Arabidopsis thaliana: one gene and its partners. The protein of the gene in region 1 purifies or fractionates together with the protein of each later gene. This does not show direct contact. Each region holds a gene or a part of one and is shown in the gene's direction. Other genes may lie near its edges.

Region 1 (4,495 bases):
ATTTTGACCATAAATACTCATGTGTTTCTTCTGGTTTGTTTTAGGACATTACATTCCTCAGCTGAGTGAAGCCATTGTAAAACATAACCAAGGTTCTGACAAAAACAGTATAAATCTGAAGGGTTACATGGTGAGCCTGTCCTCTTATTGATCCCCCTATGATTCATTTTCTAAAAGGTTATAAAACTCTAAAACAATGTTGATGAATGTGTGGATGCAGGTAGGAAATGGGCTGATGGACGATTTCCATGACAGGCTTGGTCTTTTCCAATATATTTGGTCGTTGGGTTTTATATCTGACCAAACATACAGCTTACTGCAACTTCAATGCGGTTTCGAATCGTTTATTCACTCCTCCAAACAGTGTAACAAGATTCTGGAGATAGCGGACAAAGAAATAGGTAACATAGACCAATACAGTGTCTTCACCCCAGCTTGTGTTGCCAATGCTTCCCAGTCAAATATGTTGCTAAAGAAAAGACCTGTAAGTGGCCTTAAAACTTCTCTTTTCAATGTTACACTCTTTAGTGTCCTAATTTCTCTGTTTATTTTACTTAGATGACTAGCCGCGTGAGCGAACAGTATGATCCTTGTACGGAGAAACACACTACAGTTTATTTCAATCTTCCAGAGGTTCAAAAAGCCCTCCATGTCCCACCAGGACTTGCACCATCAAAATGGGATACTTGCAGGTAAAATTGCCTTGCAATATCTTAGAAACTTGGTTTTGGAGGAAATGAGCCTATTTAAGTATTGTAACAATTCTGATCCCGACAGCTTTGGTTATGCAGTGATGTCGTGAGTGAACACTGGAATGACTCTCCTTCCTCGGTTCTAAACATTTACCACGAGCTTATAGCTGCTGGGCTTCGTATCTGGGTTTTCAGGTCTCTTTCTCTAAATATATCCACTGAAAGCACTTTAACGATATCTTTTCTTCAAGTGTTTTGGCGTTTTGGTGGTAAAAAGAAAAGGTTTTGTTCTTTGGTAACAGTGGGGACGCAGATGCCGTTGTACCAGTCACATCAACCCGGTACAGTATCGATGCACTAAACCTTCGTCCTTTGAGTGCCTATGGTCCTTGGTACTTAGATGGACAGGTACAAAACAAAACTCAAGATGAGAAAATGAGAATCCTTTTCTTATGTTATAAGAAAAACTTATAAACAGTCATGATTTGAAACAGGTGGGAGGGTGGAGTCAGCAGTATGCTGGTCTGAACTTTGTGACAGTGAGAGGTGCAGGCCATGAAGTTCCTTTGCACAGACCGAAGCAAGCTCTTGCGCTCTTCAAGGCTTTTATATCTGGAACTCCATTGTCCACACATGAGAACAGCATCAGCCGCGACATGTCTGAACTCGTTAGTGACTCATAATGAGTTCTGATTTGATGTAATGTGTGATTTGGATTCTCAATCAAAAACTTTCCACATAGGCCGTTGAAATAAGAAGAGGGAAAGAGAATAAATCAGTGTTTTAAGTGATACGTTCAATGCTTCTTCTTCTTCTGGTTGTTTGTTTGTTTGGATAAACATTTGCTGCTTGGAATCTAATAAAAGAAGTTTCTACCATTTGTCAGCCATACGATCCTTGAATAACAACAACATATTCTTGTGTAATGAGAAAGTGAAGTCTGATCTGTGATGTATAGGACTGGGTATTAATCTGGTAACGGATATAATACTGGGGTAGAAAATAGAATTTAGACTAGTATTGGGGGTCTAAACGAAATTATACAGAAGCATTGGGCTTGACTTGGCCCATGAGACCTAAGCCCATATTTTAAAGAATTAGGGGTTTCTTCTTCCTTTGTCTGTTCAAATTGAAGAAACCTGTTTTTTTTTTTTTTTTTCTGGAAGTGAATTGTCTTGAGTTGAACATTGAACTTCAATTGGTCGGAATCTGCAATTTCTGAGGTAAAGGTTTCATTTTTAACCTTTATTTGTTTGGGTTAAGATGAGATCTACGACGTTTTGAATGAGGATTCGGACGGTTGGGTGTTTCAGGTTTGGGCTCAGTGTCTTCTCTCGCGCGTCCCTCTTCACCTTCTTATTTCTACCTGTGAGTCTCACTTTTCTTCTCTCCGGTCTTTAGCATTCTATTGAATAGAAGAATTGGCATATAGCTATTAGCTATTTTCCTCAGATCGTGTTTTAGGCGACTTTCTGTTCTCGCTTGCTTAACATTGTACTTCAGTGTCGAATTCATATCCTACACATGAGTCTACATAAACATTGTGCTTTATGCTTGCTTCCTTAGTTCCTCAGAAATCCTTGGAAAATCCGCAGATTTATCTTCTTCGCTATCTGGAATTGTTTTCTTCGTAGGTTTCTTCTCGTTCATGTGTTTTTCCCTATTGGGATAATGGTTTTCAGCTCTAAAGATTCTATAGCCGAAAGTAAAAATAAGACTTGTGTAATATTTGCTGCAGCTTTATTTGCGAAATCACGTCTAAAACCTTGTAGGTAGAGGAAAGGACAAGAATCCCAGGCAGAAGCAACCATGGTGATGGTGTCTAATTCTACCCATCAAAATAAGGAAATACATGTCAGAAGGAGAATCTCTGAGATGTATTCTTCGTTCTGATCTTTTTCTCTCGTTGCATATCATGCTTGCCTGTGCAAATGGTGTGATATTTAAACCCCTTGATCAATCTACTGCGTATTGATCAGTATAGACTCTTAGCATGTATAGCGCTAAATTTCACATCTGATCATTTTTATAGAAAATACTTTGTTCACTGCATACACTTAATGAAGCAATTCTCCCATCTATGGACCCAGTGAGATGCTCCATTGTTTCCTAGCATACCTTAGCATAAAATGGAGATCTTTAGTCACAGTTTCTAACAGATGAGATATAGATTTATATTAAGGTATCAATTTTTTCATTCTGTAGAAGCAGAGTATTTTCAGCCTCTTGAGTATCATGTTTTTTTTTCTTTCTTTCTGGTGATGCAGATACAATAGACGGGAAGAGGAGTTTCCATCACTTAAAGACTACAATGACTACTTGGAAGAAGTGGAGTGCATGGGTTAGTTTCACTTGTGCTCCTTATTTTCTCTATTCATGCAAGACAAGACCAATGTATATATTACCTTCTATTCCACCAGTATTCGACTTGATAGATGGAATCAATGTCGAGGCGATTGAGCAGAAGATTAAGAGATATTCTAAGGAGAATGCTGAACAGATAATGATTAATAGAGCTCGTAAGGTAGGGCCTACGTTAGCCTTACTTTTTCTTATCTTGGTTAGATGAATGAGTAGAGGAAAAGAAAGAAGATTAAAAGCATGTTTGGTTATATGATATCACTGTGCAAATTGCTTTTGGTGTATTTACAATTTGCTCCAACAGGCAGAAGAATTGACTGCAGCCTTGGCAGCTTGCAAGGCCAAACCCCCACAGACAGATGCTGACACGGTAAATTGGGTTTTAATTTTCATATCAACAAGCAGATGAAGTTTCCTGACGAAGCTGAAATCTCTTTACTTGTTTACGCATTTTGTAGTCGTCGAACCATGGGGTCACGGCTGGAACTACATATGGTCAGGCTTCACGACCAACGGGAATGGGCCCACAACCTGTACCTATAGTAGGTGGAGCAGAGCGTCAACATTACGCTATGGAAGACGAAGCGACGAGGAGGATGAAAGCAGAGAGAGCTGGAGGATTTTCTTTAGAGATAAGCAAGAGGAGGGCTTTGGAAGAAGCATTTGCAAGCATTTGGGTTTGATTTCTCAAGCGATATTAGTTTTGTCCCTTATGATAGTGACTAGGAGGTCTTGATAGCTTCCATTGTTGTCTCAGTTTACTGTCTTTTACTCTTGTGGCTGGTTTGTTTTGTATAGTTGACAAGACTCTATTACGGGCATCAAGGAAAACAAAATTTACGAAAGAAAAATCGCAAAAAATACATGTACTTGTTCAATTGTAGAGAGACGGAAACAGATGGTAGAACAGAAGCAAAAAATAAGGAGGATGGACATAGTTATTGAATTTAAAGGGATTTTGATGTCCATATCAAAGACATAGTTTCATCTTTAGCAGTTACACCGTTCCCAGTTGCCATAACATTTTCCTCTGTTTCCATACCCATCAGTATATCAAGAAATGATTCGGCACCGTCTAAACAAGACATAGAACAAAAATTCAACTTAGGAAACTTGAGGTATATGTAACCTCGGCAACACAGGCCACATAATTTGCAAATTAATCGACTCTGGCTACTGTTACGAACAACTTCCCCTTTTAGGTCATCGCAACTGAATGTGGAACCACACTTTATGTAAGCAGAGGAGTCAAAACACGCATAGATGGTGGATAGTGGTGCAACATATGTTGCAAGTGTAGAACCATGTTGTCGTATCTATTTTTTCTTCACATATTTCGCACCAGTAGATTTCATCTGTGCTAGTGCTATCTTCATAGCAAAGAGAGAGAGGATGCTCATCATATTTCCAGCATAACTGATATGGGATGGTTGCACATTTAT
Region 2 (6,002 bases), 5.4 Mb from region 1:
TAGTGACGATGCTCGATCAATTGTATAATTGTAATAAGCACTCTAGCTGCAGCTATAAATACCCTACTAAGTCTCTCATCTATCTTCACTATCTTTTGTGATAAGAAATTCTATTATCAATTCCTATCATTTGTTAAGAAAAAGAGTTAGAAGTATTAATAATCTTACAATATTTATAGATAAGATAACAACAATATGAAGCATTCTCACGTTTTGCTTCTTCTATTTGTTCAAGTCATTGTCCTTTTGCCTCTCCTTTGTCTATCCGACGATTTTGTTAACTCTAGAGCTACTTATTATGGCAGCCCCGATTGCAAAGCAAATCCTCGTACGTATTAAAATTGTTATTGCTATATACATCGTGTACCTTAATTCTTTTTCATTTTCTTAGTTGTTGTATAGACTTGTACACGTTATATATTGGTAAAAGATACATTGGTGTAATATCTCACTATAAGCCATAACTAATTATTTTTGTTTTATATCTACGTATAGGTTTCTTGTTTTGTTTTATTTTGAAGGTTTATTCAAATTCTAAATACATATATGATTGAAAACGAGTCCACTAAGTGTCCATTAACTGCGTAATTAGTAATGATAACTTTCCATTATGAGAATATACATAATATTTGTCGAAAGAATAAGAATAATTAATTAATTTTTTGATGATGCAGGGGGACATTGTGGGTATGGAGAATTTGGAAGAGATATCAATAACGGTGAAGTGAGTGGTGTTTCATGGCGACTATGGAACAATGGAACTGGCTGTGGTGCTTGTTACCAGGTTATTATATATAGTTATCTACTTATCTCAATCAATATTTCATCAAATATTATTATAGTATATGCTATGTCATTAATTACTAAACTTATATTATGAAAGAAAAAAAAACTTATTTTATGAATTATAAAAAGGTGAGGTGCAAGATACCACCACACTGCAGTGAGGAAGGAGTATACGTAGTGGCTACGGACTCCGGAGAAGGAGATGGCACGGACTTCATCTTAAGCCCTAAGGCGTACGGACGTATGGCGCGACCCGGCACAGAAAATCAGCTCTACTCCTTCGGTGTAGTCAACGTTGAGTACCAAAGGATCCCTTGCCGATACGCAGGGTATAATCTGGTGTATAAGATCCATGAGAAAAGCTACAATCCTCATTATCTTGCCATCCTTGTCTTGTACGTTGGTGGTGTTAATGACATCCTCGCCGTTGAAGTCTGGCAGGTAAATTTAATCAAAGATGTTGAGAAACTTAGATATATGTTTTTGAGGATCAAAATATATAGTTTACTCTTAGATGATTTTGTGAAACAAAGTTAAACGTTATTATATGGTATGCATGTATATGTATGATTTTAGGAGGATTGCAAAGAGTGGAGACGTATGAGAAGAGTGTTTGGAGCGGTTCATGATTTGCAGAATCCACCTAGAGGCACTCTCACATTGAGGTTCTTAGTCTACGGAAGCGCAGGAATCAATTGGATCCAATCGCCAAACGCTATTCCCGCTGATTGGACTGCCGGAGCCACCTACGACTCCAACATTCTACTTACTTAATTGATTCACTTTTCATCAGTGTGTTTTTATCATATAGTATTTATTATGGTTTCTGTATGCAATGGCTAATATATTTAAATAATGCCCTCTAGGACAATATAATTAATGATGATAATATAAATAATCGTAGTAGATTCATATATAATTTATGTATTGTGTCTCACTAAGAAGATTGTAATGGTTTGTATGAGTTTGATTTTGATGGAATAAATCAGTACTAATCAATTTATCAGATGATGATCAAACGTTTCGTAAGCTTTTTTTGTTTACATTTTGGTCAGTCAAGCATATATCTCTCCCTAATCAACCATTTTCATGAAAACAAATTGGCGCGATTTTTGTTATATAGATAGGCCCATTAGTAGTATTCACAAGGCCCATTAAAACTTAATTTATCTTGGCCATCCTCTTCGATCGATTTCGTCAGTTTTCTTTGATTCTGGGTAGTAAATAATCGGGATCAATTGTAGAAGAGCTCATCGAGAAAAGAGAGAACCTAAACTTTAAATTCAATTCTGTATTGTTCTCAAACTCGAACCCGAAACTTTAAATCCTTCCTTATTTGTTTTCTGGAGTTCTTGTTTAGAACTGTTTTGGATTTGTTTTTTTTGAGGAGATGCTTTAGTTAACTAGGTTTGCTTCGAGCTGATCGCTGTGTGGCATAAACCCTAATTTCGTGGAAACTGTGCTCTTTTAGAACCGGTCCAGTGAGTAAGGGAATCCAATTGGTGAAGATGCCGCAAGTTAAGATCATTGCTAAAAATTTCATGGACATGGTGGCGTCACTTCCAGCCATCAAGCTTGACAAACTCTACAACAATGTCTTTATCTGCGAAGCCATTCTCAGGTTAATTTATGTGTCTATGTTGTTGAATTTTGAAAAAATTGAGGATCTTACATTCTTAAGATGGTGTCAGGTCTTTGCCGCCTCTTGCCAAGAAGTATGTATTGCAGATGTTGTACATTGATGTTCCTGTACCTGCTACGATGATGGAGGAGTGGGTGCTCGCAGATGGCACCTCTAAACATAGAGTTGCTATTGATCGACTGATTCAATTAAGGATTTTTTCAGAAATTAGTGATAGGTATGCATTCTTGCTTTATTCTTGATACTGTCATGATTTGACTTATTTCAGTTAGTTCAATACTTCTGTCTATTCACGTTGGAGGGTTTATTTGATATATTTATTTAAAAGAGTGATGGTGGATGTTAACTTGAGCATTGAACCCTATGAGCTTCATCTTATACTTCAATTTACTGTGTTTGGATTGATTATGATTGTATGTGGCAAGATGATAGTTCAGATTTAGTTCTTAAGCTGCTCTTCGTACTTTTGCAGGAAAAGGGGAACCAGCTACAGCCTAAATCCTACATTTCAGAACAATCTTCAGAAACATATTATTTCCGGGTAAAGACATCTTTACATTGACGGTACTCTCCTTTTTCGTTTTTTCTCTAGGCTTTTGGAGAAGATGCTGATGAGCTAAATTTGAATTTTGCAGTGGAGTTTTGCCTAGAGAGCCTATGAACTCCGACAATGCCATTAAACTTCCAAGCCTACAAGAACTCGAAACCTATGCACTTAAGCAATGGGAGGTGTGTGTATTTCCTAATTTCTTATTGATAATACTAGTAAGGTGGAAGTAATTTGTAAAACAAATATCTTTTAATATGAACTTGGTTAGTATCTGATGATGTGTACTTATGTTTGTCAGTGTTTCTTGCTACAACTTATAAATTCGGGTCAAGGTGAAAAACTAACTGGCATCAGTTCATCCATGATGAAAATTTTTCAGCGAGGTTTATTGAGTCAGAGGTAATGTTTTCATACACGTCTATAGATGCATAGTGGTGGCATATAGCCTCCCTATTTGATACACTTCATGTAATATTGCAGAGACAAAGATGGCCCGAGATTAACTGAGAGTGGCTTTCAGTTTTTGGTATGCAAATCGTGAGTCAGTGGTCTATAATTACCTGTATTCATGTAAGTAACCTGATTGACCTCAATTTTCAGCTGATGGATACAAATGCCCAGCTTTGGTACATTATTCGAGAATACATATTGAATGCCGAGGTTTGTATTATTCCTAAGGTTTTGTGAAATTGATATCTCTATTTCGCCGAATGGATAACCCAATGCCAGTGTTTCTCAGGAGCGAGATGTAGATCCAGCAGACTTGATTTCGTTTTTGTTGGAGCTTAGTTTTCATGTTACTGGTCAGGTATAACAGAACTTCACAAAAAAGTCATTTCAAGCGTTCTTGTTCTTGTTTTTACTCTTACTTGATTTAGCGGGATGCTTGTTAATTATTTCGGTGAGCTTACACATTGCAGGCATATAACTTAAATACCTTGACAGAGGTTCAAAACAATACCCTCAAGGACCTTGCAGACTTGGGATTAGTCAAGCTTCAACAGGTTAGACTTAGACCATTTGTAATATTTTTTTTATTACCAAATATCAAAAGAAAAAAAACTTTGCTAAAGTTATGATTATAGAACTATATCACATGCTGAGCCAGTCTTTATGATTATTGAAGGGAAGGAAAGACAGTTGGTTTATTCCTACTAAACTGGCTACAAATTTATCAGTCAGTCTGGCAGATTCATCAGCGCGAAAAGAGGTCACACCTTTTTTATTCCCCTCTTGTCCCATATCTACCTGCTACCAACAATTTTCTTGATTTTGTGTATCGCTGTTGTTTGTTGTTCCTCATCAGGGATTTGTCGTGATGGAAACAAACTTCAGAATGTATGCGTACTCCACATCTAAGTTACAGTGTGAAATTTTACGACTATTTGCGAGGTAGAAGCTCCTGAACATCGACCTGAAACTTTACTCTTCTGTGTCTTAAAATCCTTTAGGTCTAAGTAGTTGGTGCTTCATTATTTCCAGGATAGAGTACCAACTTCCAAACCTTATTGCTTGTGCCATTACAAAGGAAAGTTTGTACAATGCATTTGACAATGGCATCACATCAGATCAGGTACAGTTGGTTTCAGTTGAAAAACATTTTGAAGTTATCGAATACATGATTTTGCCCGGATCCTCACTGTCCTTGAAATGTTGATCAAATTGTTGATGCGTCTCTTTATAGTTTCTGAATAAATATTTTTTCCTTTTCTTTTGATTGTCACAGATTATAACTTTCCTCCAGCAGAATTCTCATCCACGATGTGCTGATCGAGTCCCATCTATTCCAGAAAATGTCACTGATCAGGTTTATACTCTCTATGCCCATCAAGTGTCGATTATACAAAAATGTGTATAGGATTGGTTTATAGAATTGAAAGTGTATACTATCTCTACGTCCTGATTCATCAGGCTTATGTTGAATAAAAATGCATTGTTCTGGCAGATTCGGCTTTGGGAGACAGATCTGCAGAGAATTGAGATGACCCAGGCTCACTTCTATGATGAATTTCCTTCAAAAGTAACAAACCTGAACCCTCTTATTATTTTCTCTTCTCCATAACGCAAAACCGTTATAGTAAATCTCATTAACCAAAATCATGTTAGCAGGATGTGTTTGAGGCAGCTTGTGACTTTGCTCGGGAATGGAGAGGCCTTCTTTGGGAAGACTCTAAGAGAATGCGACTTGTTGTGAAATCCGAAGTTCACAATCAGATGCGTGAGTTTCTTCATACCCAAAGCAGGTAACAAGAAGAAACTCACATTTTCTTCTCGTATTAAAACAAAACATCATGCTTCGATTCTACAAACTATGTCTTTCGTGAGGTTTCAGCAGAAAGAGAAAAAAGAGTAGCCATTTGATGTCTTGTTACTCTATTAGTTACCATCGTTTTTATCCTGCTAACACATGCGCACCCCAAACGTAGGAAAAGTACTTGGTGTTGGTACCCACGAAGTTGAAAGTTGAAACCTTTAAGCTGTAAGACCGATCCATTGTAAATCACAATATACTTTATTAGGCGAAGTTAAGTTTGAAACAACATATATTGACAAAACGTGGTCGTTGGGGATGGTCCAACCAGGGTCACCTCTATAATTTCTTGTACGCTAGACAGAACACAATCTCGGTTTTGATTCTATTCAGTTGACCAAATTTCAAAATTATTAAAACCTCAGCAAATGCGAGGCTACAATCTCAGTTTAATCAACTAAGAGGATGTATTCAGAGACGCTGAATCTATTCTGTGTCAACATGAAGACAAGATCTGACTTCATTTTGCTTGAGATTTTTCGTTGGCTGAGGACTCTGAATCCTGGATCTTATCTCCCATGTTTGCATCTGTAGTCACATTTGCATTTCCACGTGCCCGAGCGAGTTTCTCAGCTTCTTCAATCTTTCGTATAGCTTCCTGTTGTGTTGCGTTCATCATTGTCCCCATCGTTTTCTTCTCTCCTTCGAGCTGAATTTCCATTATGGTACTAGCATGCTTGTCTATCGGTTTGAAGTAGTCTTCAATTTGAGCC
Region 3 (7,896 bases), on another chromosome or scaffold:
TATGCAACATTGAATCAGTATGTTTGGTGAAACATGTGTGCTGAACTGATAAATTACCTGAATTCGGCAGAGTGGAGAACTTTACTCTATCTGGGCCAACGGTTCAACTGAGAATCAATCGCAAGTAACTGCGGTAACATCCCTTGGACGTATGTTGACAGAAAGCATTTACACCGACATAACGATCAATGCCTCTGATGGAAGCATTGGAGCTCACCGAGCAGTTCTCGCTGCCCGTTCACCTGTTTTCCGCAGCATGTTTTTACACGACCTGAAAGAGAAAGAACTATCAGAAATAAACGTACTCGACATGCCACTTGATGCTTGCCAAGCTTTTCTCAGTTATATCTACGGCAATATCCAAAACGAAGACTTTCTTATACACAGATTGGCACTCCTCCAAGCAGCTGAGAAATATGATATTGCTGATTTAAAAGAGGCGTGCCACTTGAGTCTTCTAGACGATATCGACACAAAGAATGTGCTTGAGAGGCTACAGAATGCTTATCTCTATCAATTACCTGAACTGAAGGCTAGCTGCATGAGATATCTTGTGAAGTTTGGCAAAATATTTGAGATCCGAGACGAGTTCAACATATTCATGCAATGCGCAGACAGAGATTTGATTTCTGAAATCTTCCACGAAGTCCTCAGTACCTGGAAAGGATTTTAGGGGAAATCAGAAAGGGTATGTGTGCTATAATTATACAAAATACATTTATGGACACTGATTTTTTGTGCAAAAGGATTTGTTGGTCTTTATGTACAGATTAAAGTATTGGGGGTTTTAACTCAAAACCCAAGTATTGTCCTTACAAGGATAAGACAGCAACATGTAAATTCATGATTTGATTGAATGTGAGCTTCTTAGCTTGAACTTTGAATTGTTAATCTATAACACTAATATAGTTTTCTGAACTTTTAAAGTAAAATCTACAATCATCTTTTAGCAATTTTACCCGATTCATGATACTAAAGTTATACCAAGCTAAAAAGCTAAACATACATATCCTCCCATGATCTGTAATCTTCCCTAGTTTATTGTAATGGTGACAGATGTTAAAACATATCATGCTACAAGCAAATTCAACAGGAATGGTTCAGTAGTTTCAGAGAATCAACCAACTAGTTTCTTAGCTAATATGAAAAATTCAAAACAGAGGAATATATACATTCTTCTACTCTAAGACTAGAATCTGTGCTACATACCAATGTGAGTACTACATGGTTTACAGAAACCAAATCTCCGGAAAAAAAAAAATCAGAAAACAACTCCCTGAAACTGAATCAATAGCTACATAAGCGATTTCAGATCGTCTTCAATGGAAACAAAATCAGACTCTAAGACCTCTGAGATCCGCCACAATGCCGGAAAACTAAGAGGAAATTACATAGAAACGAACTCGAATCAGGAAATCTCTGTGACTGCCAAATAATCAGAAACTAGAATGTCGCACGAATCTGATATATGGAATGGATGGTGTTCATGCGTAGGAAAAATCAAAGTGAAAAAGAAGAATCAGACAAGTAAACCGATATGGGTCTAATAGAATCGCAAAATGAAAACGACGAAAACAACAAAATGGAATTTCCTTGCAGAAGAAACTTACCTTCGACAGCTACCTATCACCACCACCATCGCCTTCTTCATCTTCGAATCTGAGATTCGCTTCATCTCTTCCTCCAATTTTGAAGAGAGGGAATATTGTTCTTCATAAGATGCTGGAAAATGAAGATTTTTTTTCAATTATTTTTTCCCGGCAAACGAACTACGTCAATAATGGGCCTTATTAGTGGCCCAAAATATTAAAGACGTCGTTTCATTCTGTAATAAATAGATCCCTAATCAAAAAAACCTCCCAAATTTCGAACTCAAAACTCTTTCTACGTCTACCTTCTTCTTCTTCAGCCGTCGACATCCTCTAGTAAGCCAGCTACTCTTTTCTTCTTCTGTACAGTAATCAGCTTCAATTCTATAGAGCTTTCAAAAAAAATCTATCGTTTGAAGCTTTATCTGGTTTGTGGTCTTTTTTTGTCGATGTCAATTTAGTTGATAAATGCACAAATATGTATCTTTTCTTCTTTTCTGTGTCTATCCTCATTATTGATTTATACTAGAGATTACAGAATTTGGTACATATTGATTATAGTCGTGAGACTATCATAATTTAAGGTGTTGTATGCTATTTTACAGGTTTGAATTTAGTCATTGAAGGTGTTAAAGTCCATGGCAGAGTCTATTCAATCCGCAACTGAAACCGAGCCTATGACGGTTAAGCCATTGAACTTTGAAGGCTCATGAAATGTCTGATGGGAAAGTTCAGTTTAGAGAAGTAGCCGTTCCACCGAACCGGTACTCTCCTCTCAAGAAAGCTTGGTCGGATATCTACACACCGGTCTTTGATCAGATGAAAATCGACATAAGGATGAATCTTACATTTTGATGCCCCTAATTAGTTTTGACTTTTTGTTCATTTTATCACATGACCAATCATAATGGGCCGTAGCAGTTTAATTCGGGTCAGTAAGTTGGGTCATGATTCGGGTCGGATACTTATTCCCGTTCTATAGTATAAACCTAGATTCCAATTTCGCTTGATTTCCGATGAATTGATCGACTGGAAAACAGAGAACCACCGTTTCTACAGTTGGATATGGCTGGTGGGCAAATAGAGAAGCTAGTCAAATACAAGAGCACTGTCAAGGATCCAGGAACTCCTGGATTTCTCAGAATTGTATGAAGATTACACTTTTCGCTCTTATTTGAGTTATATTATCTCTCAGCTTAACTGTTTCTTTTGCAAAATCGAAAAATTTGCAGAGAGAAGGGATGTTGCTCTTCGTCCCTAATGATCCCAAATCAGATTCTAAGCTCAAAGTACTTACTCAGAACATCAAAAGTATTGTTTGTACCTTTTCTCATTAACATTGCTTATTGGATAATAGATGTTGTGTTGATAAACGATTTCAGTTATGATGATAGCTGCATAGTCATTATCAAATTTCACTGTGTTTGTTCAATCTCTCAGGTCAAAAATATACCAAAGAAGGATCAAATAAACCTCCTTGGCTCAATCTCACCAACAAGCAGGTTTTTTCTGTTGACATTTTTTGATTAAAGCTATGATACATTATAGATATGTGAATTTTGAAGCTATATCTCTGTGTTCATTGAGGTTTCCTCATCCTTGATTGTAGGCAAAGAGTCATATCTTTGAGTTTGAAAATTATCCCGACATGCATGCTTGCCGTGATTTCATCAGTAACCTCCATGTCCCTTGGTTTGCTTTTATTGATTGGGAAAGTATTTCTCTTGTTTTCTTTCGTGGTGTTTCTGTAACCTCTTTTTTACTATAAACAGCTAAGGCCCTTGCTAAATGTGAATTGGAGCCTAATAAATCCGTTGTCTCGACATCTTCCGAGCAACTCAGTATTAAGGAATTGGAGCTGCGCTTCAAGCTTCTGAGAGAAAATAGGTATGTAATTGGAACATTAAGTTGCCTTTTTGGGTTCAAAGTTTCATTGGCTCATCAAGTTCCTTCTAATATGAGTAACATACGTGATTTAAAGTGAGCTGCAGAGATTGCATAAGCAATTTGTGGAAAGTAAAGTACTGACTGAAGATGAATTCTGGGCTACAAGAAAGGTTGGTTCTTTGTTTGATTTTTTTAAAAATTTTGTTCTCTTCAATGTCTTCATAGTTACCGACTTTATTCTGGCTGCAGAAATTACTTGGTAAAGATTCCATCAGAAAGTCAAAACAGCAGCTCGGGCTTAAGAGCATGATGGTTTCTGGCATCAAACCATCTACTGATGGGCGGGTATGGTATAGTTATCTCAACTCCTTTCTGGCAGTTAGTACAGCCAATTTAGTTAGCATTTTCATGTGCCTGCTTTTGTAGGAAAGAAACAATGCATCTATATGACCATACACTGATGTGTTCGACTGAATTACATTCATATGTTGATATATATCATATTATCATGTGACATCTCTGCTGGTTTACTAACCACTTTCTTCATTTTTCTTCTTTCAGACTAATAGAGTGACGTTTAACTTGACACCTGAGATAATTTTTCAGGTGAGCTCTTTGGTTCACTATGTTTGTCATTAGTGTAACTGCTCTATCAGTTTCTGAATCCCTCCAAGGTCGTCATCATAAGTTTTTTATATGTTATGGGGTTGAAGTTGCAGCTAGTGATATATTGGGTCAGAAATCCATTGTTAGGTGTTCAGGTTGCATCATGTGCTTGAACTTCTAGTCCAATCTGAAACTACAAATGAGGAATATAAACTTTTTTAACAGTCTTTCACCCACATTCTATCTTGTGCTTGCTTAGCCAGTAAATCCATTGCAAGTAACTTAAATGTTACTTTCGTAACTGCTACAGTCCTTTTCTTACTTATGTTTTCTTCATTACGCTTTCAGATTTTTGCTGAGAAGCCAGCTGTTCGGCAGGCATTCATCAATTATGTTCCGAGTAAGGTAACAAAGACCAGCTCACTGTGACCATCTTTGTTTATAAGGTTAACCCTCAAATACGACGAATCTTAACTGGCTTTGGTAGTTATTTTCCTACGCCAGATGACAGAAAAAGACTTCTGGACAAAATATTTTAGAGCAGAATATCTTTACAGCACCAAAAATACAGCAGTAGCTGCAGCAGAAGCTGCTGAGGACGAGGAACTCGCTGTCTTTCTGAAGCCTGATGAGATATTGGCTCGGGAAACTCGTCACAAGGTTAGGTTTCTTCTATGGTTTAATCATTTATCATATATTTTGTTTGAAAAGAAAATATTTGTGGCATATCCATCTGATTTAAATGTCATCTCTGTAGATTAGACGGGTTGATCCAACTCTTGACATGGAGGCTGACCAGGGAGACGACTACACTCATCTTATGGTAAGTCAACTACCACTGCATGTGAAAGGTTTGGATAATTTCCAAATTGCGCAACAATGGTTGTTGAAAGGAAAGTTCAATGCTCAGTTAACACTGTACAGATTCACACATAGAATAAGTCTTTCATCGAGGTTTGTAGTGTTGATGTTTACGTATTGTCTATCCCTAGTAGAAATAGTATGGGAAGAACTGGGATAATACTAACGGTGTTAAGAATCAAACCTGTACCAATGTGTGTCACTTGTTTCTTTCTTCTAGAATTCTCAGCGAACCTAATTTGAATTGTTAAATCAGGAATTTAGTTTCTTTCAAATAACTCTGAATTAGTGCTTTTGCTTTTTCACAAGACCACTACTTTAATATTAGCATGTGTGAGAAGGAGCTCAAAACTGATATCTAGAAAATATTAATCTTAACATTGACATTGTGCTCTTTGTATGCGGTTGAAACGTTATTTTCAATACACTTTATCGTACTTAATATAACTTTCCCATAACACAGGACCACGGGATCCAGCGTGATGGCACCATGGATGTTGTTGAACCACAAAATGATCAGTTTAAACGATCACTTTTGCAAGATCTTAATCGTCATGCTGCTGTTGTATTGGAAGGCAGAAGCATTGGTAAACACCTCTAAGAACCTCATTTGAATCTTTTTATCTGAATATTTTATAACAGTAGATAGTTCAGGAAGTGTAAACATTTATGTTGGCCTTTTGACTTTAGTTCTTGGTGGTAAATATACAATAATATTCCTGTAATTGGAAAGCAGATGTTGAGTCAGAAGATACAAGGATTGTTGCAGAGGCTCTCACACGGGTTAAACAAGGTATGATGTTTCATTCTGCTAAACAATGCCACGCTTTTTATTCATCTGACCTTGCTATCCATCTCTATTTTACACCCCTGTTAGTAAGCAAAGCTGATGGTGAAACCACCAAGGACGCTAATCAGGAGAGATTGGAAAGAATGTCCCGGGTAGCAGGAATGGAGGATCTTCAAGCACCACAAAATTTCCCATTGGCGCCGCTTTCTATCAAGGTTTGGCTTTCTGCCAATATAAGGTTTTCACAATTGATGATGGATGCTGCGTTAATCCGCTTACCCTTTCTTCTTTGGAATCAGGATCCTCGTGATTACTTTGAATCTCAACAAGGAAACGTCCTCAATGTACCCAGAGGAGCAAAGGGCTTGAAGAGAAATGTCCATGAAGCTTATGGATTACTAAAGGAATCCATTTTAGAGATTAGAGCTACAGGATTAAGTGATCCGTTGATTAAGCCTGAAGTTTCTTTCGAGGTGCTATTCTGTCACATAATAAAAAGTGTGCTGACAAAAGAAATCATTACTTATTGCTTTGTTGCCTGAGCTAAAAATTGCTAACCCTATTCAGGTTTTCAGTTCGTTAACCCGAACCATTGCAACTGCTAAAAATATTAATGGGAAGAACCCACGAGAGAGCTTTCTGGACAGATTACCAAAGTCCACTAAGGATGAAGTTCTACACGTAAGTCCGACATTTTCCAGTGTCCTAAGTGACAAGAAGCTCTATATGTACTAGTTAGTGAAGATTAGGTAGTAATGCATATGGATAAGAGGACTTTTCTTCTTTCATCTACAGCATTGGACATCAATACAAGAATTACTGAAACATTTTTGGTCATCTTATCCGATAACAACCACATATCTTCATACCAAGGTAATGTTATTGCAATTTTCAAATCTCCCAGTCCCAGAAATTGCTATATATATTGATTCCTAGGCTTTCACGGGAAATTTAATCTTATTATACACCAAGAGCAAGTTATTATACCAAATATTTTTCGTCGATTCTTGTGATGTTATATTATTATCATGCAGGTTGGTAAACTGAAGGATGCAATGTCCAATACATATTCAAAACTTGAGGTAAGCTTTGAAATTCTTCATCTTTCTGACAGAATAAGCAACTGATAGTAAATCTGCTATGTTAAAACAGTAGTTCCTAATCATACCAATGCGTTTACGAAAATGAAATTTTTGGGTAAATAAAATTGATGCAGTATTGTAGTCGAATCTTATTTGCATATATATGGTCAACTGTACGGTTTCCTTGATATTAAACTCCATGTAACTCAGGCAATGAAAGAGTCGGTGCAATCTGATCTCCGGCATCAGGTTTCTCTACTGGTTCGTCCAATGCAACAGGTTAGCTTCTTCCAATATCTACGGAAGAGTTTTATACTTTTATTACATCATGTCTCGGTTAAGTCTATATTTTCCACTCATATTGCATCTATATCCAGTTTCTACAGCCTTGCATTGTAATCCGGTTTGAAAATTGATCTTAATCGGTTTTCTCTGCTAGGCTCTTGACGCTGCGTTCCATCACTACGAAGTGGATCTGCAGAGAAGAACAGCTAAGAGCGGCGAAAGACCAAACGGCTACGTATAGAGGACAAAAAAACTAAAACTAAAAAGCTTTGCAAGATCTTTGAATTGTTTCATCAGCCTTGGTTGGTGTTTTTGAAAATCTTCATTTGTCCCTTTTTGTCCGACCATTGAGATACAAAAATGCGTTTATATTGTAGTAATATTTTCTTTTCTTTTTTTTGTTAATTAGGCGTTATATTGTTAACTGCGAGAGACAACAAAGAGATTTTCTCGATCTGAACATTTTTAAGTTTGCAATGTATTAGTAAATTCTCTACAGGCTTTGAGGACGTTACTACAGCTCCAAGAAAGCTCTCAGTGCCATAATTGTTTGGTTATTTGGTTACTGGTGAATATTTATAATAATGGGACAATAATAGAGAAAATGCTTCGATGGCGTAGTAGATTTCAATGTTTGAATCGCATCAAACAACAATCCAAATTAGAAATATATAAAATTCAACATAAAACTTTTTTTGACATAGCATTCATGGATAACTTTTGATTTGAATGATTAATTTACTCATTGTGAGGAAAAAAATAAAAACAGATAAAGTTACTCATTGCTTGTCATATT
Region 4 (4,746 bases), on another chromosome or scaffold:
TCGGGAACCACAGGGACGAGCAAAGGAGTGATCTCGTCTCACCGGAATTTAACAGCTTACGTTGCGAAATACATCGACGATAAATGGAAACGAGACGAGATATTCGTATGTACCGTGCCGATGTTCCACTCCTTCGGGTTATTGGCGTTCGCAATGGGCTCCGTAGCATCGGGTTCAACGGTGGTGATTCTCCGGAGATTCGGGCTCGACGATATGATGCAAGCGGTGGAGAAGTACAAAGCCACGATTCTGAGTTTGGCTCCACCGGTTTTGGTAGCTATGATTAACGGTGCAGATCAGCTCAAGGCCAAGTACGATTTGACCTCCCTGAGAAAGGTTAGGTGTGGTGGAGCACCGTTGAGCAAGGAGGTTATGGATAGCTTCCTAGAGAAATATCCAACGGTTAATATTTTTCAAGGATATGCGTTGACTGAGTCGCACGGTTCAGGAGCTTCGACGGAATCTGTGGAGGAGAGTCTGAAATACGGTGCGGTTGGGTTGTTGTCGTCCGGTATTGAAGCGAGGATTGTGGATCCGGATACGGGTCGGGTCATGGGTGTGAACCAACCCGGTGAGCTCTGGCTCAAGGGTCCTTCTATTTCTAAAGGTAAACAAACACTAATAAACGCTAAATATTTGGCAATAATTAGATTATTTGAAATAGACATTTTATTATTGGGAAATTATTTATAAAACAAATATTATGATCAAGTTTTTAAGCAGTAAAATGGGTTTTGGATTTGGTGTGAGTAATTGAGTTTTGTATACATCGATATGATTAGTATTCGTAACGTGGACACCCTAACCGAAGAATGGCTTCAGTTCATTTGCAAATTAAATGAAACTTATTTAAGTGAACTCAATACTATTGAATAACAAAAGAAACACTCTTAAATCTGTCTTGGGACAAAACGAAAACAATTTTTTGCATGGCAAAGACATAGTTTTGAATTAAACTAACATTTATATGCTTTAAAGGTTATTTCGGAAATGAAGAAGCTACAAATGAAACTATTAATCTAGAAGGATGGCTAAAACTGGAGATCTCTGCTATATCGATGAAGATGGGTTTCTATTTGTTGTGGATCGACTGAAAGAATTGATCAAATACAAAGGCTATCAGGTTCATCATCGTTATGTTTACTAATAGTGTAAATTTTCTTAAAAATGAAAATCTAATGGTTAATATATGATAAGCAGGTGCCTCCAGCTGAACTAGAGGCTCTTTTGATCGCTCATCCACACATTCTTGATGCTGCTGTTATTCCGTAAAATATTTAACAACTAAAACACCATGATTTTTGCCATTCAAATATCGAAAAACATGTAGTTTGTTTCTTTTGTGCATTGTACAGGTTTCCGGATAGAGAAGCCGGACAATATCCGATGGCTTATGTAGCCCGAAAGCCCGAGAGCAATCTCTCCGAAAAAGAAGTTATTGACTTCATCTCTAATCAGGTACTTCTATAATCACAAAACGTACAACATCTTCTTTATCATATATTGTTTTACTTAAAAGTTAAACTATTTTTGGGTGGTAAATAATTTGATGAGCAGGTGGCACCGTATAAGAAAATAAGAAAGGTTGCATTCATAAGTTCCATACCAAAGACTGCATCCGGCAAAACACTTCGCAAAGATCTAATCAAACTATCAACTTCCAAACTTTGAAAGGATAAATTTGCTAGACTTTCTTAATTTTATTGATGGTATTGTTTTTCAATAAGAGAGAAAACTGTAAATCTGTAATCATTGTATATATTTTTCTGTATACATATGTATAGTGTTGAATAATTTCCAAGGACAGATATAATTAGTTTGCATTAGGCCCAAAGGCGTAATGGATCAAAGACTCAAAGTATAGTGGGCTTTTTTATAATATAGTCCACGTCATAAAACTTAAATCAGAAACGACGTAATTACCAATCTCTAACGACCAATCACCGAGAGGCTTTCGATACAACCAAAGTCCTTTAACATGGCGGTTAAGCACGGCGTCGACGGCGACGGCAGCGAAATCGAATCGAGAACTCTGGCGGTAGATCGAAAAAGCGGTTTCTGCGAATCAACATCGATATTCTACAGCAAACGTGAGCCAATGGCTCTCCCGCCAAACCAATTTCTCGACGTCACGTCTTTCATTGCATCACAGCCTCATCGCGGCAAAACCGTATTCGTCGACGCCGTAACCGGTCGTCGACTAAGCTTCCCTGAGCTCTGGCTCGGTGTCGAAAGAGTCGCGGGTTGTCTTTACGCATTAGGTGTACGCAAAGGAAATGTCGTCATTATACTCTCTCCAAACTCAATCCTCTTCCCGATCGTCTCCCTCTCCGTAATGTCACTCGGCGCAATCATAACCACCGCTAATCCGATCAACACGTCCGACGAAATCTCCAAACAGATAGGCGATTCGCGTCCTGTTCTCGCCTTCACCACATGCAAACTCGTCTCCAAACTCGCCGCCGCGTCGAATTTTAATCTCCCGGTGGTTCTCATGGACGACTACCACGTTCCTTCGCAAAGTTACGGTGACCGCGTGAAACTAGTCGGGAGGTTAGAGACGATGATTGAAACAGAACCGAGTGAGTCACGAGTTAAGCAACGAGTCAACCAGGACGACACGGCGGCTCTGTTATACTCATCAGGTACGACGGGGACGAGTAAAGGAGTAATGCTGAGTCACCGTAACCTAATCGCATTGGTACAAGCATACCGGGCCCGGTTCGGTTTAGAGCAGCGAACCATTTGCACAATCCCAATGTGTCACATCTTCGGATTCGGTGGTTTCGCGACGGGGCTAATCGCGTTAGGATGGACAATCGTTGTTCTTCCTAAATTCGACATGGCTAAGCTTCTCTCGGCGGTGGAGACTCATCGTTCTTCGTACCTTTCTCTTGTACCGCCGATTGTAGTAGCTATGGTTAACGGAGCAAATGAGATTAATTCCAAGTATGATCTGAGCTCGTTGCACACTGTGGTGGCTGGAGGAGCTCCGTTGAGTAGAGAGGTGACGGAGAAGTTCGTTGAGAATTATCCCAAGGTTAAGATCCTACAAGGGTATGGTTTGACTGAGTCAACGGCTATAGCTGCTTCTATGTTTAATAAAGAGGAGACTAAGAGGTATGGAGCTTCTGGCTTACTGGCTCCGAATGTGGAAGGTAAGATTGTGGATCCGGATACGGGTCGGGTTTTGGGTGTGAATCAAACGGGTGAGCTGTGGATTCGAAGTCCTACTGTGATGAAAGGTGTTTGATTCTTGATCTTTAGTTCATATGCCTGTGAAATATGTTTTTTTTTTTTGTTATTGGTGTTGTCTCAAACTTGTTGAGTTGTTTATAGGTTATTTCAAGAATAAAGAAGCTACTGCTTCTACCATTGATTCAGAAGGATGGTTGAAAACTGGAGATTTGTGTTACATTGACGGTGATGGGTTTGTCTTTGTTGTTGATAGATTAAAGGAGCTCATCAAATGCAATGGTTATCAGGTAAATAAATAAAATGTAACCAATCAACTTTAGTTGATCTTTCTTAATGCATGGATCATCTGAGTAAAGTTGGGGGTTTTGGTAATGGTGAAATGTTTGTTAGGTTGCTCCAGCTGAACTAGAGGCATTGTTGCTTGCTCATCCAGAGATTGCTGATGCAGCAGTAATACCGTAAGTCTTGCTTTTAACATTGACCCATCAAGCAAATTCTTCTCTTTAACGATCCTTTTTGCTAATTGCTGAAGCTTTTACTTTTCTTTCTTATGGTTTTTTGAAGCATCCCTGACATGAAAGCTGGGCAATATCCAATGGCATATATCGTAAGAAAAGTTGGAAGTAACTTATCCGAGAGCGAAATCATGGGATTTGTCGCAAAACAGGTTTTTTTTAACAATGCAGTTCATGTTTTCTGACTAATATGACAGTGGTTCATTAGGTATTTAGGTTTAACCGGAATTCTGGTTGGGTTACATAGGTATCACCGTACAAGAAGATTCGCAAAGTCACATTTTTGGCTTCAATCCCCAAAAATCCTTCGGGCAAGATTTTAAGAAGAGAACTTACAAAGCTCACAACTTCAAAACTCTAGCAGGAGGCTCTGTCACCATCCTTATCTCGCACTTCACGGTATGTTAACCCGTTTGTTTGGTTTAAATGTTAAGTTACTTCTTCCACATATATCTCTGTCAAAAATGAATAATGATATACAAACTGAAGGTTTATAGAGAATCTCTGTTTCTATTTATATACAAACAGAAAAGATTTTTGTGTATAAAAAGCGCTCTCCACAACCATAAACTGTTAAAAAACTAGAGACTGGAGCTTGCTCTGATCATGGGCTGCGTTGCAACGAAAGAGAGGGAAGAAATATGAAACCGATGAAGCTCCCTTGCACGACGTGCTCATGGGGGACACATCCTGGTTCATCGTCTTCTTCACACCATCATCACCACCATCATCATCATGGTCAGACAAACTCTTGTTCCTCAACAACATGAGGATGTGATCCATCAAACCTCCGTCGCAAGGAACCTGTAAAGGGCCACAAATAGTGGAGCCAAACTCTTCCTCTGCCATCTCCAATAAGACCTGAAAGATTGGATGTTTGAGATAATCCAAGGGTAAAACAAACCTCCTGCCTTCTCTGGTATACACAGCGAAGTGTCCTTTCTTACACTTCCTCCACTTCTCCATCAAATCGGTGAGTCTAAGCCTCGAGCAAGATCTTTTCTTCAGAGACATATAGAGAGCTTTGATATGT

The links.
Region 2: the proteins of AT4G30820 (region 1) and AT4G17020 purify together in Arabidopsis thaliana (affinity purification with mass spectrometry, with the first as the bait; one large-scale study listed by BioGRID). This does not show direct contact.
Region 3: the proteins of AT4G30820 (region 1) and AT1G55750 purify together in Arabidopsis thaliana (affinity purification with mass spectrometry, with the first as the bait; one large-scale study listed by BioGRID). This does not show direct contact.
Region 4: the proteins of AT4G30820 (region 1) and AT1G20480 purify together in Arabidopsis thaliana (affinity purification with mass spectrometry, with the first as the bait; one large-scale study listed by BioGRID). This does not show direct contact.

Annotation. Positions count from the first base shown.
Region 1 is NC_003075.7:15,004,643-15,009,137, forward strand, and holds AT4G30820 (cyclin-dependent kinase-activating kinase assembly factor-related / CDK-activating kinase assembly factor-like protein), read left to right. Parts: upstream 1-1,851; 5' UTR 1,852-1,915; exon of another isoform or gene 1,916-2,005; 5' UTR 2,006-2,060; exon of another isoform or gene 2,061-2,464; 5' UTR 2,465-2,501; coding exon of another isoform or gene 2,502-2,544; coding exon 2,545-2,569; exon of another isoform or gene 2,570-2,851; coding exon of another isoform or gene 2,852-2,874; exon of another isoform or gene 2,875-2,959; coding exon 2,960-3,216; intron 3,217-3,357; coding exon 3,358-3,423; intron 3,424-3,511; coding exon 3,512-3,736; 3' UTR 3,737-3,982; downstream 3,983-4,495. Other genes in the region: scpl29 (serine carboxypeptidase-like 29), read left to right, coding at 45-130, 221-484, 559-692, 792-887, 995-1,100, 1,187-1,375.
Region 2 is NC_003075.7:9,577,375-9,583,376, reverse strand, and holds AT4G17020 (transcription factor-like protein), read left to right. Parts: upstream 1-1,937; 5' UTR 1,938-2,294; coding exon 2,295-2,407; intron 2,408-2,477; coding exon 2,478-2,645; intron 2,646-2,900; coding exon 2,901-2,969; intron 2,970-3,063; coding exon 3,064-3,157; intron 3,158-3,276; coding exon 3,277-3,377; intron 3,378-3,458; coding exon 3,459-3,504; intron 3,505-3,578; coding exon 3,579-3,638; intron 3,639-3,717; coding exon 3,718-3,786; intron 3,787-3,898; coding exon 3,899-3,982; intron 3,983-4,104; coding exon 4,105-4,188; intron 4,189-4,284; coding exon 4,285-4,370; intron 4,371-4,460; coding exon 4,461-4,551; intron 4,552-4,704; coding exon 4,705-4,785; intron 4,786-4,923; coding exon 4,924-4,998; intron 4,999-5,087; coding exon 5,088-5,221; coding exon of another isoform or gene 5,222-5,225; exon of another isoform or gene 5,226-5,310; coding exon 5,311-5,404; coding exon of another isoform or gene 5,405-5,438; 3' UTR 5,439-5,502; downstream 5,503-6,002. Other genes in the region: EXLB1 (expansin-like B1), read left to right, coding at 196-328, 675-784, 916-1,227, 1,363-1,560; AT4G17010 (transcription factor IIIB), read right to left, coding at 5,750-6,002. UniProt on the Arabidopsis thaliana protein: Component of the general transcription and DNA repair factor IIH (TFIIH) core complex, which is involved in general and transcription-coupled nucleotide excision repair (NER) of damaged DNA and, when complexed to CAK, in RNA transcription by RNA polymerase II.
Region 3 is NC_003070.9:20,839,894-20,847,789, reverse strand, and holds AT1G55750 (BSD domain (BTF2-like transcription factors, Synapse-associated proteins and DOS2-like proteins)), read left to right. Parts: upstream 1-1,890; 5' UTR 1,891-1,925; intron 1,926-2,194; 5' UTR 2,195-2,654; coding exon 2,655-2,735; intron 2,736-2,821; coding exon 2,822-2,900; intron 2,901-3,029; coding exon 3,030-3,091; intron 3,092-3,198; coding exon 3,199-3,262; intron 3,263-3,361; coding exon 3,362-3,476; intron 3,477-3,570; coding exon 3,571-3,646; intron 3,647-3,725; coding exon 3,726-3,821; intron 3,822-4,037; coding exon 4,038-4,082; intron 4,083-4,430; coding exon 4,431-4,487; intron 4,488-4,586; coding exon 4,587-4,742; intron 4,743-4,839; coding exon 4,840-4,905; intron 4,906-5,406; coding exon 5,407-5,530; intron 5,531-5,679; coding exon 5,680-5,736; intron 5,737-5,820; coding exon 5,821-5,948; intron 5,949-6,032; coding exon 6,033-6,206; intron 6,207-6,300; coding exon 6,301-6,414; coding exon of another isoform or gene 6,415-6,468; exon of another isoform or gene 6,469-6,528; coding exon 6,529-6,606; coding exon of another isoform or gene 6,607-6,669; exon of another isoform or gene 6,670-6,767; and 7 more. Other genes in the region: AT1G55760 (BTB/POZ domain-containing protein), read left to right, coding at 71-673; AT1G55755 (uncharacterized protein), read right to left, coding at 214-271, 522-657, 1,624-1,675. UniProt on the Arabidopsis thaliana protein: Component of the general transcription and DNA repair factor IIH (TFIIH) core complex, which is involved in general and transcription-coupled nucleotide excision repair (NER) of damaged DNA and, when complexed to CAK, in RNA transcription by RNA polymerase II.
Region 4 is NC_003070.9:7,094,306-7,099,051, reverse strand, and holds AT1G20480 (AMP-dependent synthetase and ligase family protein), read left to right. Parts: upstream 1-1,904; 5' UTR 1,905-1,978; coding exon 1,979-3,245; intron 3,246-3,339; coding exon 3,340-3,485; intron 3,486-3,588; coding exon 3,589-3,656; intron 3,657-3,762; coding exon 3,763-3,865; intron 3,866-3,960; coding exon 3,961-4,074; 3' UTR 4,075-4,219; downstream 4,220-4,746. Other genes in the region: AT1G20490 (AMP-dependent synthetase and ligase family protein), read left to right, coding at 1-607, 979-1,094; AT1G20470 (SAUR-like auxin-responsive protein family), read right to left, coding at 4,287-4,727. UniProt on the Arabidopsis thaliana protein: Carboxylate--CoA ligase that may use 4-coumarate as substrate.